2 linked regions of the Arabidopsis thaliana genome follow. The protein of the gene in region 1 interacts with the protein of each later gene in a pairwise test. Each region holds a gene or a part of one and is shown on either strand. Other genes may lie near its edges.

Evidence for each region.
Region 2: the proteins of MGDC (region 1) and MYB74 interact in a two-hybrid assay, tested with the Arabidopsis thaliana proteins (one large-scale study listed by BioGRID).

The regions. Positions count from the first base shown.
Region 1 is NC_003071.7:4,740,111-4,749,357, reverse strand, and holds MGDC (monogalactosyldiacylglycerol synthase type C), read right to left. Parts: upstream 6,197-9,247; 5' UTR 5,971-6,196; coding exon 5,653-5,970; intron 5,092-5,652; exon of another isoform or gene 5,036-5,091; coding exon 4,863-5,035; intron 4,768-4,862; coding exon 4,606-4,767; intron 3,785-4,605; coding exon 3,643-3,784; intron 3,552-3,642; coding exon 3,327-3,551; intron 3,243-3,326; coding exon 3,180-3,242; coding exon of another isoform or gene 3,144-3,179; exon of another isoform or gene 3,140-3,143; coding exon of another isoform or gene 3,134-3,139; exon of another isoform or gene 3,114-3,133; coding exon 3,039-3,113; intron 2,965-3,038; coding exon 2,725-2,964; 3' UTR 2,548-2,724; downstream 1-2,547. UniProt on the Arabidopsis thaliana protein: Involved in the synthesis of monogalactosyldiacylglycerol, the major structural component of photosynthetic membranes and in the chloroplast envelope biogenesis.
Region 2 is NC_003075.7:2,614,487-2,621,709, reverse strand, and holds MYB74 (myb domain protein 74), read right to left. Parts: upstream 3,339-7,223; 5' UTR 3,154-3,338; coding exon 3,018-3,153; intron 2,926-3,017; coding exon 2,796-2,925; intron 2,629-2,795; coding exon 1,920-2,628; 3' UTR 1,763-1,919; downstream 1-1,762. Other genes in the region: AT4G05097 (uncharacterized protein), read right to left, coding at 7,147-7,223. UniProt on the Arabidopsis thaliana protein: Probable transcription factor that may function in salt stress response.

The sequences.
Region 1 (9,247 bases):
TAATAATAAATAATTTATTTACTTTGATAAATTTAATAAAATAGAAATTTACATTTTGATACTTTTTATATTATTTGGTGGCATAATATTTAGAAAACTTTCCATATTTTTTTATTTTGTTTTTTTTCTTTACAAAAATCTAAAGAAAAATAGAAAATAAGAATAATTTCATAAATGTTAATTAACGAGATGGCTAATCACAATTGGTTGTTTAAAATCCTATGTGGACGGCAGAAGAAGCAAAAGGCCTCGACTTTTCTATAGTATAGATTAATATACATAATCTACGAAAACGATTGTCGTTATCTCTGAAATTTATGATCAGAGACTTTGTGGGTCTTATTGCAATAGTACACATTTAAGTAGTAAATTTTGATAAGACTACCTTCACATCATCAACCTCCAAACTTTTCAATTATAGAATGATGTACAAAGCCTTGAATAGTAGTATTTTCGATTTTGAAAACTAAAACTAAGATAAATAAATAGGAAAATATTTAGGTTTAAAAAAAAAATCTTTTCATCAAGTAAAAGAAAATTTATTCCTATGAAGTCATTTTTTCCTTTTAAAATTATTTATGTAAGATATATATGTACTAGATAAGACCCGCCTAAAAAGGCGGATGTAAGAAATAAATATAATTTTGTATCATTAATATTTGAATTCTAAATAGTAATAAATATTTTTATTAACATTTAATTTTAAAAAATTTCAAACCAAATTTCAGACTTACACATCCCATATTTTTCTATACACTTTAACTATTTATTTCATATTAATAAACTGCATTTTAATTCTACAAACTACATCTTATCGATGATTTTTGAATTCAAAATAGTATCTTGCTCTCTTTTTCATTTTTAATTTATTATTTTAATTTAAAAAAATTTCCAATCTTACACATTCCATTTGCAATACAATTTAACTATCTATTTAATCATTATAAACTGGATTTTGATTCTACGGACTTCATCTTAATGAATAAATGCTAAAAATATTATATCAAAATAGTGTTATATGATTTTGATTTACGGTTTTGGCGGAAAAACGTCGGTTTACGGTTTTGGGGAGAAAACGTCGGTTTACGGTTTTGGGGAGAAAACGTCGGTTTACGGTTTTGGGGAGAAAACGTCGATTTTCAGGTTTTGGCAAGAAAACGTAGGTTTTCCGGTTTTGACGAGAAATCGCTGGTTTACGGTTTTGGCGGGAAAACATAGGTTTACGGTTTTGGCGGGAAAACATGATTTTCAATTTTGGTGGAAAACACTTTTTGTGATTTCGGCAGGAAAACAATTTTTGTGATTTTGGCGGGAAAACAATTTTTGTGATTTTGGCGGGAAAATGTGGTTACGGTTTTGGTGGGAAAACGTCGGTTTACGGTTTCGGCGGGAAAACATGATTTTCAATTTTGGTGGAAAACACTTTTTGTGATTTTAGTATGAAAACAACTTTTGTGATTTTGGGGGAAAAACGTCGGTTTATGATTTTGACGAGAAAACGTGATTTGAATATTTAAACCAAAAAGTGAAGTTAAGTAGAATAATTTAGTTTTAATGTATTAACACATTAACATTTTTAATAAGGTTTACTAATATAAAATGAAAAAGTAAATGGACTTAATTGGGTACCCATTTATTTGTGTGAAACCCCATTTAATAAATGGGTTTAGTTGGGTTAACTCATTTAATCCTATTTAATTTTTTTCTAAATGAGTTTAAATGGGTCAATTTCTCTTACACAAACCCATTAATTAAATGAGGTTTGCATACCCATATTAACATCACTAGTTATATCATATTGTATCAGAGTTAACAAAAAGAAAAAAACATTATATCTTAGTTAATAATAAATGAGTTAACAAATTACTAAAATAAAAATCCACAAACTAACAAAAAATCTTTACCATTAGTATGACGTTAAATCAACTGTGGTCTTTTTGAAGAGTATTTTGGTTTGGTGAAAAAGTAGGAGACTACCTATTATTTTTATAGATATGAGTATTTTGAATCGTTTTTCTTTTAGGATTAATAATTGATTGTAGTTTCCATAATTATGGTATTTTATATAACAAGATTGTATAATTTCTTAAATCCTTTTTAAATTTTGTAGGAAAAAGTAATCAATTTTGATTAAGAATTAGTAGCTTCAATTAGAATTAGTAAATGATTTTTTAATTTCTATTTTTAATTTAATAAGATACATATATTTTTTTAAAACTTATCATATTTACTTCTCTAAAATGTTTTAGTTTCCTTATACTTATTTTAAAATATATAATTTCTTACAATTGTCTTTTTATAGTCTTAAACTTAATAAAAGAAAATTTTGTTTTACACGTGTTAAAATCTGAGATCGATAAAATTTGCACATAGCATAATCAATTACTAACTTTGAAAACCGTACTTTATATAATAAGTTAGTTTCCTTGTAATTATCTTCTTACATTTTGAAAACTGTTTAAATTTATAATTTACAATTATCTTTTTGTTTTTTAAATTTAATAAAACAAATTTTTTTTATTTATATATGTCAAAATCTGAGATCGATGAAGTTGACACGTGTTACAATCATATGAGTTACTAACATTGAAAACCATATTTTATATAATAAAATACATAAATAAATGTTGAAAAAGACTGATAAAAGAATGACAAACCACTAGAGAATATACATTAATAAGAATCATGAAATAAGAGAAACCTATAGTCTAAACAAACAACACTTCAATAGGAAAATTCATTAAAAAGTGGAATACGTTGTTGTTGTTGGGATAGATGATGGATATCCTTCACAATGTCGAACACGGCTTCAGGTTGCGACAACTTTAGAGCATTCTCTGACATTTTCTTTAATTCCTCTTTATTGTTGCTAAACCAATCCGCCACGATTTTCGCAGTTTCTTTGGGACTTCGGGTGAAAACTCCAGCCCCATTGTCCACAACATACGGCACGTTGCCTTTTTCCTTTGGGAGTCACATACAATAGAGTTAGTTTATGTGGCCGATTAATCCCTAAGGTGAAGCAAAAAAATGTATACCTGTCCAGGAATATAGTCATTGAGGATAATTGGGAGGCCGCAAATCAGTGCTTCCGCAATCGTACCCGGACCAGCCTGTTTTATGTCATAAAATCTTAGTGCTATTTATATGAATGGGTAGGATTCAAAGATATGACTTACCTTAGTGATGATACAATCACAAGCTCCCATCCATTTTTCCATTTGTGTTTCAAACCCTCGAACCTATAAACGTCACAAGTATATATTAGTTACTTGGTATATAAGTATATAGTAGAAGTAAAAAAAAAATTATATTTTAGTTTGTACCTTGACCGGAATCTTCCATTCATGAGATGCTAATGTAGAAGCAAGGACTTTGTTCCGGCCGCATATGACAATCAATTGTCCTATTGGATTACTTTCTTTAGAGTTGTATAAAGAATCTCCAAGGGCTAGAGCTGTTTTTTGAACCGGACCCATTCCTTCACCCCCTCCCATTAATAGAACCGCAGGTAAATTTAAGTCTATTTCAAGTTCCTTCCTTAGTTCATTCTAACAAACACACATAATAATAGCTATTGTTGATCTTCTCTTGATTGGGAAAAAAAAGATCTCTAAATGGTATGAATTGGACAGAATTTACCTTGTTGAGAATAGTGCGAGGGAAAGATGGGCGGACAGGTAAGCCAAAGACACGGATTTGAGAGTCATCAAGGCCGTCTACTAATGCTCTCTTTGCAACCTCTTTGGACGGACAATAACATCTGCTGACTCCATGATGGAACCTATTACATCAAAATCGAAGATTTCATTTTGAGCTATTAGGTTAATTTCAATGTTTTAAACCCTGACCCGGACAGTGAACCGGATTTTCTTCTGGATCACCGATTAATGGGGTTAACCGAATTAGACCACAGGTCAATTGAATAAAATTTATTGAATATATTTAATATTAATAGAGATTATATAAAATAAAACAAAAATAATTATCTTATGTTTAACAAAATATGAAATCAAACAGTAACAATCAAAGTTTTCAATTTAACTAAAAGTCTAAAAGACTAAAACCGTAACAAATATAGTAGGAGATCATTAATGACGAAAATAAATTAATAAACATTGCGAATTAAAACAACTAATCTCGGTTTCAGTCACTTTAGGCGGAATTGTGAAGACTTCACCAAAATATAAAAAAATCAAATGAGTTTAAAAAGTGAATTTTTTTTCTAAAAATAGCTGAATAGAGTCTAAAATGCTATATTTTATTCAAAAATCGAATATATTTTTTAAAACTCACACACGGCCAGTTCAACCGGTTCACTGGGTCGCGGGTTAATGGCGATTTTTTGTGGATTTTTCCGGGTTTAAAATTGTTGGCTATAGTACTAAACCTAAACCGAAAAAGTGTTTGGGTTGCTGATTAACCGTTCGAACCGAACGGTTTGGGTCGGACGTGAAAACACTGGTTAATTTTAAATATTATTGCATATAATCTATATTTTATTAAATGAAAAGTCATGAGAGTAAACATGCAGGATTAATATGCTAACGCGTGGATTAAACTGATTTTAAGTACTTAGTATATATAGAAGTAATGTCATCTTACCATGTACGGTGGCAAGTGTTTAGATCAGTGATGACCGTAACGAAAATAACTTTCTTGTGAAGTCCTTGCCATTTCATTACCCACAATGGTATGTGTTGCATCAGAGGATGCACGCTAATAATAATGTCCGGTTTGTACTCCATTAAACCGGCCTCTATTTCTCTGTTCACCAAAAGAAGAAATAATCTCCATTATATTGCTAATTCGTAACACTAAGGGATGATAACGAAAAAAGAAGAAGGTTAACATATAAGTACTTGGCATAATAAGCGGCAAGAGCACTTAGATAGCTTTTGTGGATCCATTTGGGAGAAGTACCATGAAACGCAACAGACCAAAGACCAACATGTTTCACCATGAACTTGTACTGTCTCTCCATGTCGTTCAATGGCCATCCAGTGTATTCTTTCCAAACATCTTTTATGATTATCTATAGTTATAAAAAAAATGACATTAGTTCCTAGAGAGAATATTGTAACATCAAAGAGTCAGAGCTAGAGAAATAAATAATGCAAATTTTTAATCATTATTGACAAACAAAATAAATGGAACGTGGGACAGGTTTTAAGACATAGATTGTTGACGTCAGCTCGTATCTCCGACACCCTGGCAAACTCCAAGATTCATACTAGGCTACAAAACTTCCAAGTAGATATTTGTTTCTTTTCGTTTTCAAATTCAAGACGACTACTGCGACAACTTTAATATTGACGGCTGAGATTTCATTAGAATCAGAAACTCCTCTATGATATATTATAACATAATCTATTGGAAAATTTTGTCATAATATAAATACATATTATTCGAGGTATATATTTACAAGCTTTGAAATTTTCAAAATGAATATTTCAAAATATTGTTGTTGTTTTACACAGAAACTAAAAGATAAAAGTATGATTAAGTTTTGTTGCTTATGCAATATTTTTTCGTTTTTTTGTACGTTATATATATGGTTAAGGAAGCATATTATTGGCTCAACCCTATGCGTTGGATTCAAGGCAAAGAGAATGAAAATGAAGATATAAATAAAAATATTAATATTTTTACCCGATAGTCATCTCCGAATTCGATCTTGAAAGCGTCGCGGATGGCCTCGGCTGAAGCACGGTGGCCACCGCCGGTATCACTCATGAGAATAAGAACAGTTTTGATCCTCTCTGCTCCCATCTGCTCCATCTCCATAACTTCTTCTTTGTCTTCTAACCCTCTCTTCCTTAGACGACTCTCCTTCTCATAATCACTTGATCTCTGACGATGGATATACTCATCTTCTACTGTTGAGATGTTAAAATTGCTATAGACTCGTCGAAACACCTTCTCAGTGATTGAATCCGACCGTGTACGAGGTGACACCACTTTCATCATGACTATTTGGTGTTGAAGAAAGAATAATAAGAAGACCGATGGTTGTGTTTTCTATGTGGCTGGTTGGTGATCTTTATGTAAAAGATTTTAAGTTCTTTTGGGGTTTTAAATTTTTTGTAGCAAAAAAAATGGAAGACCAAGTTGCTTCTTTTAATAATTGTTTTTAAATTACTTGAGGAATGATGCTGGAATTATTCTTTTTTTTTTTTTTCGGTTCCTATAGTTTTGCTTAGGTATTTATATTTCGTGTCTTTATTGTTTTATGTGGGGCTTAATTTAGTGGTAGAGTAACAAGGGAATATGGCAGCTTGGAGCCGTCGGATCCGCCTTTGGTTTCGGAATCTTCGGATATATGATTCGGATCTTTCTTTGCATCTCAAGTATATTTAAAACAACTTGACTTTTTAAAAATTAAAAAAAAAATATGACATGGATGGTCCTTTTTGTGACATAGGTAAACCGGTTTAGAATCAAAAATTATCTGGTTTGATTAGGTTTAAATCGATTCAGTTAAATTTGAGTCCACTTTTCATATTAATTTAATACTTGATTAATTGATTCAAGTTAGTTTCGATTTTTGTTTAGTTGTTGATATGAATGTTTGTAAACAAAAATAGGTTTCAGTTCAAATGTCTACTTTTGCATCAAATGTACTCATATGGAAAAATTGTCTATTTGTCTACGAGAATTATGACATCATTAGATATTGACCCGCGGTACACAGCGAGTTGATTATTTGCGTTAGAAAGTTAATTGTTGTTTCAATTTAATATAATCTATATATAAATAACTGAGCAATAGTTTTATTTTTTCAACTTACTTGGTATATGTATTTACTTTTATTGATATAGTAGTATGTTTTTTTTACTTGGTTATGTTTAGTTAAGATAACATGTTTATTATACTTATTAGTACATAAAATGTGTATTTTATGATGCATTAGTACGTGTTTTATTATATATTTTTCTCTTTATTACAGAACATTATTAAAATTTTAATTTATTTTAAATTTGATTTTTGGTATATTACTGTAACTATCCTAAAGAAAAGAATGTTGTTTTATATGAAATAGTTGTACATTATGTTTTAAATCTGTGGTTCAATTTTCACAATTTAATTTATTTGGTATAATATAATTTGAAAATCTCATTTTATTTTTTTAGAAGTAGTAAAATCAAGAAAACTTAATACTATATGAAAAATTTATGTGCGATAAACATAATTACAAATATAAATTTAAAAAATAAATATAGTGACATTCAAAGAAATTAAGACTAATGTGGGTATAATAAGTCTATTAACTATTGGGTATTCTAAAACAATATGAAGCGGTATCAGGACATATGATAAATTTTGTAAAATCATCGATTCAGTTCGGGCATAAAGTAGATGAAGCTATAAAGGCAGAAATAAAATCGATCTTGGGTATACATAATATCGGAGGCATGGGTTCCTATCTCGGACTACCTGAGAGTTTAGGGGGATCTAAGACAAAGATCTTTTCCGTTGTTAAAGATCGATTACAGTCGAATAAATGGGTGGTCAACTAAATTCCTATCAAAAGGAGGGAAAAAAGTGATGATTAAATCAGTAGCCGCAACATTACCAACTTATGTGATGTATTGCTTTAGGCTCCCGAAAACAATTACTTCCAAACTAACAAGTGCGGTCGCAGGATTTTGGTGGAGCTCGAATGGTGAATCTAGAGGTATACACTGGATGACTTGGAACAAACTGTGTACTAGTAAATTGGGAAGTGACTAAGGTTTTCGGGATGTAGATGATTTAAACTCTGCATTATTAGCGAAACAGTTATGGCGTCTAGTTTCGTTTCCGGACTCTCTCTTTGCCAAGGTTTTTAAACGAAGATATTTTAGGAAATCCAATCCTCTGGAAAATATAAAATCATACTCTCCGTCTTATGGCTGGAGAAGTATTTGTTCAGTTAGATCTCTGGTTTGTAAAGGACTTATTAAAAAAGTCGGTTCAGGGGCTTCCATCTCCGTTTGGGAGGATTTGTGGATCCCGGCTCAAAACCCGAGACCAGCAAAAAGTAATGGTTTGTGGATGTCGGATCTTGTGCTCGACTCGACCCGCAATTTGTGGGCTTCCAGACAAGGATTGGGCCCGGCCTTAGAGCCCAATGAAAGCCCAGTGGTTCAAAAAGTTGATACGGAATTAATTTAGTAACGGCTGGATATCGACTTGAATGATAAGCATTCAAAGGCCCGAGCTGTTGATCCGCAACGTACGAAGTTAATAGGGGCGAGGTCTGCGGCGTGAAACCAGCTAATCATTTAAGTCATTTGATTCGTTGTATTAGTATAAATAAGAGTCAATTGTCATTTGTAAAGGGGACGAAAACACCTTGTACTGAAACTATACTGAAACTATACTGAAATACACAAATCCGTTTATCATTTGATCATTGTTCGACCGACAAGACTTAAGATCCTCACAAAAACAACCACAAAATTCTAATTGCGGATTCTGGCATCCACAATTTGGCGCTAGAAGGAGGGTAAGTTAAGTCTTTAACTTCAGAGCAACGATCAATTCACCATGAGCAACACCGACGGTCAGAGTTCCGGCGACTAAACCTCCACCCTCGACGACATCAAGCAGCTGCTTCAGCAGTTGTCAGAGAAAACCGACCGGCAACAGCTCGCAGTAACGACACTCTCCGATAAGTTCGTGTTTTTCTAAGAACATTGCAATGGCCAGCTCGCAGCTTTAGCAGCAAACCATTCCGAGATCAGATCAGCGCACAATGCATACGCCGAGCGGGTTGATTCTCTTTCTGCAGGAACGGCGCGGACTACTGGAGCTCGAACGCGACTCAACTTTCAGGGTGTCGCAAGCCCAAGCGTCCAGAATTCGCAGGAAGCTTCTGGCCAGCAATCTCCTTCACCTCCAGTTGACGTCGGGGCAACGTCGACACAGAATCCAGTCATACAATCTTCACCAGCAGGCCTTGCCGCAGTCTCAGATGGGACAATAGCTCGGACGCCGGCTCCACTGGATCCCGCCATCAGACTCCCGATTTCTAATCCCCGACAAGAGCCAAACACAGTCAACTCGGAGCTCCAGAACCTTCAAGATCAAATCTGGGCAATGAACGCAAAAGTTCATCAGGCTACCACGTCGGCCCCCGAAGTGGAAAAAGTTATTGAAGCAACAAGGAGAACGCCTTTCACTTCGAGAATCTCGAAGCTTCGTATTCGCGATTTCCGAGACTTCAAACTTCCCGGTTACAACGGCAAGGGAGATCCAAAAG
Region 2 (7,223 bases), on another chromosome or scaffold:
TAAAATCAACAAATTAGATTTGATATCTAAATTATCATATTAATTTTTTATTAATTATTATAGTTCATCTCTCATCTTTATATGATTCTATTTTTGCGAAAAAATAATATTATTGTTATAAAAGAATAATTAGCTTTTCGCATGTGCCATGATTTATATTTTTAAAAACGAATATAAACTGTTCAATACATGAAAAAATATTATAACAGGTCAAAAATAGATTTTAGAAAACTTTCTACTAAGTAACGGGTTATAATTTAAATATTTATATTCAATTTCATACATATTATTTTGAAAATTTATAATCTTATATACTATAATAATTAATAACATATTAGATTTTTTTATGTGTATGATGTGATTCAATTTTTAATACAAGCTTGAAAATCTTAGAATTGACGGGTTTAAATCAATATTAATACAAGATGGTAATTATAGGTGAAACTCTAAAATTAACAATTAAATACAAGTGTATAATCTTAAATACTGAACAATATAAATAATATCAACAAAAATATACAACTAGCAGTTTACTATACATTTAAAATCCATAAAATAATATTATATATTTATAAATCACTTTTACAATAAAAAATTTTAGTTTAACTAAAATATAAGAGTATCTACGGTATACCGCACGTTTATATCTAATTACGTATATATAAAAAAGAAACAACTCAACTAACCCACTTACGTTTCCGTCAATTCAAAAATAAAACTATATATTTTACCAAAAAAAAGTAAAGAAAAAAAAAAGTAAAACTAGATATATACAATTTATTCTAGTTGCAAATTAAGCATTCAAAATTGGCAAGATATGTAATTGTTTAATTTCGTTAAGACTCTTAGCATTAAAACCAAAGAAAATAATATGAAATTTCTCTTACTAAACAAGTTTTTATTTAATGAAAAAAACAAGGTTTATTTAATTACCACAATAATTTATTCTTATAAAAAATGTTGACTCTATACGTAATAAAAGATCCACTGGAAAAACCGAACAAGGGGTCAAAACAAACAGCTCATCCCAAAAAATGCCGACGTTCGTGTTTACACATGCTGCTTTGTCCCCACGCGTCCCCACTCTCAGTTGGCTCTCCGTACAACACGTGTTAAAGGTGATTAATTAACACAAACCGTGATTTCAATTAAAACGAGCTTTTTCTTTCAACTTTTTCCTTACGTTTTCCACTTATTGCTTTCGTGTCGTACAAGTGGCGTCTGGTCATTAGATTGTGTCCCGTGATCTGACCCCAATTGCACACGTACGCTACCATACCACGTGTACTTCTAGTTCACGCTCCGGCCAGTCTCGCCGGATTCCGGTTAGTAAATTCGTAAGACTTCTCTGGTGGTCAAAATAGAAAGTTTTTCGTGCATTTTGATTGGTTCTAGTGAAATTGTGCAAATTTTTGATTGACTTAATGGCCCACTTCCATTTCAAAACATTTGTTATTAGTATTGTTTTGGTTCATAAATTATCATTAGTTTATTTCTTCAGAGAAACAAGAGATAATAAGTCAATGATATAATTATTCACTATCAATTATTTATCTACCTTTCTATTTCGATAACATTTCAGCACCATGTATGATATCAATTATAGTATATATCTTCGAATCATATTTTAATATGATCGTTGATACGATCTCCATGCATTTATGTAGAAGAAAAGCCGACCACAAATATTAAACAAAAGAGTAGATAGATACCAATAATAGAAACTCCATCATTAAAACAATGTTATGAGCTGAGCTTTATATTGTTTACTGGTGGGATGTTGCTTTCCCCTTGACGAATATACTTTAGTAATAAATATTTTAAAACTATAGTATTTTGGATTTTGGATATGTAACAAAATCTATATAACAAATACAATGATTGCATGTTTACATAACTCTATTCCAATGGCGTTTTGTTTATTGGAATTGGAGAAAACCATTAACATCAAACGAATAATTAGTGATATTATCACTGTAATAACTCTCTTTTTCATCCTCGGTGCTGCAAGTGCTACTATTGATGTAAGTTGAGGAACTTGAGTTTAACGGAGTCGGGCTTGAAGAAGGTGTGGTCAAGACTGAAGCAAAGTCGGAGTAATAAGGTTCTAATACAAAATTGGACTTCGAACAATCATCATCGTATGACAATGAATTTTGGACCGTCGTCTTCATTGGCATGAGGTCTTGGAAATTCGTGAATTGATCCATGATAGGGAACCAAGATTGTAATTCTTCATTACCAGGCATGTTGTAACCGGTTTGGTATTGGTTTACTTCGGTTTGGTTAACCGTGTTGTTCTCGTGTGTGTTGTTGGGGTGGTTTTGGTTTGAAAAGAGAGAGGTTGCGAGTTTGAGTATCTCGGGGTTAACCAATGGTTGATGATTACCATCACTCATCATGAGCCTCGACATGTTCATATGTTGTTGATGATGATGATGATGATGATGCGAAGAGTTGTAGATAGATGAGCTGAGAATGGAGGAGATATCGAGAAGATCAAGACGTGGAGTGTGTGTAACCGGGTCGATTCCCATCTTTAGAAGTCTTTTTCTGATGTGAGTGTTCCAATAGTTTTTGATCTCGTTGTCTGTTCTTCCAGGCAAACGAGCCGCAATCGCAGACCACCTATACGAAAGCAAACAAAGTTAGAATCTGATGCATTGTAGATTTAACATAAATCACTAGTAACATCATTCAAAGCTATGACTCTAAGACTAATCTACAAGATTAGTAGTTTTCGTATAAACTACGTAATGGCAAAAATATAAAATTATTGAAAAGTTCAAACTCACTTGTTTCCCATGATGCTGTGAAGTTGAATAATGGTTTCTTCTTCTTCAAAAGAGAATCTTCCACGCTTAATATCTGGTCGGAGATAGTTGGTCCACCGGAGACGACAACTCTTACCACATCTTTGTAACCCTATAGTCAAGATTCAAGCAAAACTTTAAAAAGACAATTCACGAATAAAAAAAGTATGATTAAAATGTAATAATGAAGATACGTATACTAACCAGCATTCTTGGGAAGAGTTCTCCAATTTCCATAACCATGTATATTGATATAATCAATGAGCTTTTGATCCTCCTCAGGAGTCCATGGTCCTTTCTTGAGACCATTCTTCTTCTCACAACATGGTGATCGTCCCATCTTTTTGATTAATTGTTAACCGATCGATGAAGTCAAATGTTTTTAAAAAAATATAGTGATTGAATTATGAGGAAACAGAGAGTAGAGAGAAAGAGAGAGACGTAGGGTCCTTAAAGAGAGGTACGAAATATATATAGGAAAGAGATGAGACTCTTATCATATGGGGAAAAAAGGTGAAGTCAAATTGATTCGGTGCCGTCCTCTGTTCATCGATTGGGCTACGTGTCCTTTATAATCCCAAAATTTGTTTTTTCCAAAAAGTTTTTTTTGGATGTATACATACTATATATTAATGTTTTTTCCTACACCTTATTGTGAATTATGATAATGGCTAAAACTCTAGTAACAAAGCTGGCCACTAAATAACTTAATTTGGTTTTTGTTTGTAAGTATTTTTGTAAGTCATTTATGTTTTAAGTTAATTATAACTATGCATGCATGTGAATCTAGTGTGACACTTCGGTACAAATCTTGTAATTTGGGTAACCAAAAATATTTTTCATAACTTAGATAGTATAGAAACCATTTATACATTCTTCTTGTTGATTTTTTTTTTTTTTTTGAATATCAAGAGATTCTGGATCGAAGCATTTCTCTAGGCCTGAAACCATAGCATGTAATTTTTGTTCCAAGCGTCACTCAAATAGACATCTCTAAGCTTTGCCTAAATTTTTTACCAATTGAGCTAACGACACTTGATTCTTCTCGTTGATATTAATAAGAAAAATATCGTCAATCCAACTAATACCCTAGTTTCGAGTGATATGTTTCAAATTAACTATTTTTAATTGATTAGGAGTTTCATAATTTATAAGAGTCTCTATAATAGTATATAGTCTATTCAACTAGAAAATTGATAAATTCTGTTTTAATATTGTTAATAAAGACGGTAGACAAATGTACGTATGATATGAAACACGTGATTTTGGGGAGTTTTGTAGTGTTAAACACTGTATAGATTAATGTATAAACTTGTGTGATGATACTTAAGACTTAACTAATCAATTGATAAATATGATAATTAACAATGCAATCACAATCTAAAGAGACATGGACGTCGTCGAGGAGTGTCGCTCTCCGTAGCTTTTGGCTGTTTTCACATTAGCTGTCGCCAAAGTTATGATGCCACGTACTCTCTCTTTCCTCACAATTCAACCCTTCTGCTTTGTTTTTTCCTTTGGACTTTTTTGCAAAAACAAAACATATACAATGGATAAAATTTGTAAAACTATCAGAATACTGTTTGGTAACATAACTTTTAAAATTAATTTTGATTTTTACGTGAAAAGTATTTAACAAATTAACGCAGGTTCACACACACCAAGTTTTATAAAAGATTCTGGATTCATCTAATATCAAATTTTAAATAAATAACATATTTTCGTATAATAGTTTTTTTTGGGTAAATTTCAATAAAAACTACAATTGCAATTTTTATTAATGTTATAAAAACGACATTACCAACCTATAAATTCGTGAGTTTGATGTATAAGAAAATAGATAAATAAATGTTCAAGTATTAAATACATACACAGCAAATTTAGCTGTTCCTCTCTGTCTCTCTCTCTATCCCATCAAACTTTCTCAAGAAAAAAATGAAGACCAATCTTTTGGACTTATTAGCTTTTTCTACGTGAGATTTTGAATACATGATTGTGAATTTGTGATGCTTCCAAATTCCATTTGAAATTTTTGATTTTGAGTTATATATATATATATATATATCTTATTATTCATTGGGTGGCTTTATAATCATTTTGAAGTAAATATAAATGTGAGAAGAAAATTGATTGATACATTTTGCATGGCGTGACGTCAGATAGATTATCACTCTTATAGGAACCACGAGTTGTGCAACTCATCTTCCCTTTCGTGTTTCGACACTTTACATTTAATTACAACTAATAAAAATGGATTTTATTAACTAATTAAGTACTTTTTTGATCTCCTAAGAATTTGAATATATGAGTAGCTAAAACTCTAGAACAAACTAATTATAGTTAATGAATATTTGGATTCTATATTATTGGCGCATATGGCCTTATTATATATGCATAGTTTCAGGCAAACAAAAATTCATTCGAATATTCCAACAAACAAAAGCATCCAAGTAATAAAAATACATAAACAAAAGCAGCTAGTTTATAGACAAAATCTTCAAATAATCAGGAAGGACGACGATATAGATTGGTGATTAATATATTAGTAGTGATCGAATCATTGTCACATTTATGCTATTATAATACTATAGTTAAATATAAGTACATTAGGTTAATGTCTCGTTCCTTGCGGTTCAAGAATCTGTCGGGTTTAACGACAAATGAAAACTCCGCAAAGTGCGAAATTATGTGAATGAATAAGTATATTAGTTGATAAGAAAAAGGAGAATAAAATTTCATCACTTTATCAAATAAATAAATAAAAGAATACAGGATTAAAATAACTAAAAAAAAAAATTAGAAGATAGCTAGTGATGCTATATTAGGGTAGTAACTTGTCAAACATCTAGAGGCTTTGCTTGCGCATGAATTTGCCACAAAGAGCAGCAGCCTACGTGTTACTAGTTACTACATAGTTGACCATATCTTATTTGTTGATAATGTTTGAGCCTTTTCATGAATTAAATATGTTTCATGGATATTGGATCTGTATATCACTATGGATAAATCACTTAGAGCTCGATTGATTTAAACGTAATAGAAACATGTGCAATTGCAATTGCAAGAATTTGCAAAAACAGATGGGTTTTCACACATTTTGGATCTAAATTTATAGAAACATACGTGACTTCGTATATGTGAATCAAATTGAAGATATATTTGTAGGTCAATTTTCACTTTCTAGGTAATAATAGTACAAAAATTTATTAATTTAGAGAGGTATTAATTTATCGATAAATTAATAATTATTAATTTATGGAGAGATTTTAAAAAATTTGTAATTTTTTACAAAAATTTAATCCAAAAGGTAGTTCCTCTCTACAATCAATAATTTTTCTAAAAATCAATTACAAGTATAAAACCATTATTAGGTTTAAAAAAAAAATCTTTTTTATACGTAGTAAAATTATTAGAATTGAATTTTACAAAGAATTAATATAAATTGAAGAAAAACAATACTAAAGTCATATTTTACTAAGTTTTACATAATATATATTCATAAATATAAATATATATATATATATATATATTCATAAATTTATACAATTATTAATTTATAATATTGATGGGACCATATATTTACATAAAATTTTCAAAATAATTATTATCTTATTAATTTATCGATTTGTATCAATTTTTATAGTGGTCCCAACTCGGGACCGGAAGAATTTATTAATTTATAGAGGTTATTAATTTATCGAGTATTAATTTATAGAGGTTTTACTGTATGTGGGCAATAATAGTATGTAGCCACATACTATATATATATATATACACGATACTTGCCTAATTTTTCTTAATATAAAATATGATTGATTAGTATGTATGTTAAAATAAATCGAGTCACGTACGTAGAGATTATCGTCGCATTATTCCAGATTTTGATACGTCAGAAACGAGCCATTTGAATTCTAAATAGTTGAAAGACAAAGACCAAGAGTCCACACACACATACGTAATTATGTATATAACATTTATTTATGTATAGAAAATTACAATACATATGCGAGTGCGATACGATATCGGAATTAATAGTTGTGGAGTTGATGTGCCACATAGTAAAGTAGCTATATCTATATAGAATATTTGAATTATTAAACTTAGTGGTTTCTATTCTTGGAGGTTTCATAATAGAGGTGTGTTAATGATATTAAAATAACGAAATAGAATTTAGCTCTGGTAGTTGGATTTGAATCCGTACAACTCTGGGAGTTGGATTTGGAAGCGGTTGAGTAAGCTTCGTAGTCTGGCGAGACTTTTTTTGGTGTGTGAAGTGGGTTTGGCTATTACGGCTAGTTTCTGGTACGATAATTAGACTGGTTTGGGTTCTCTTTTAAATCTCACGAGTCCTTTGGGTCTTCAGGTGATAGGTCTGCCAAAAAAGGCGGTGGTAAGAGACGCAATTTCTGG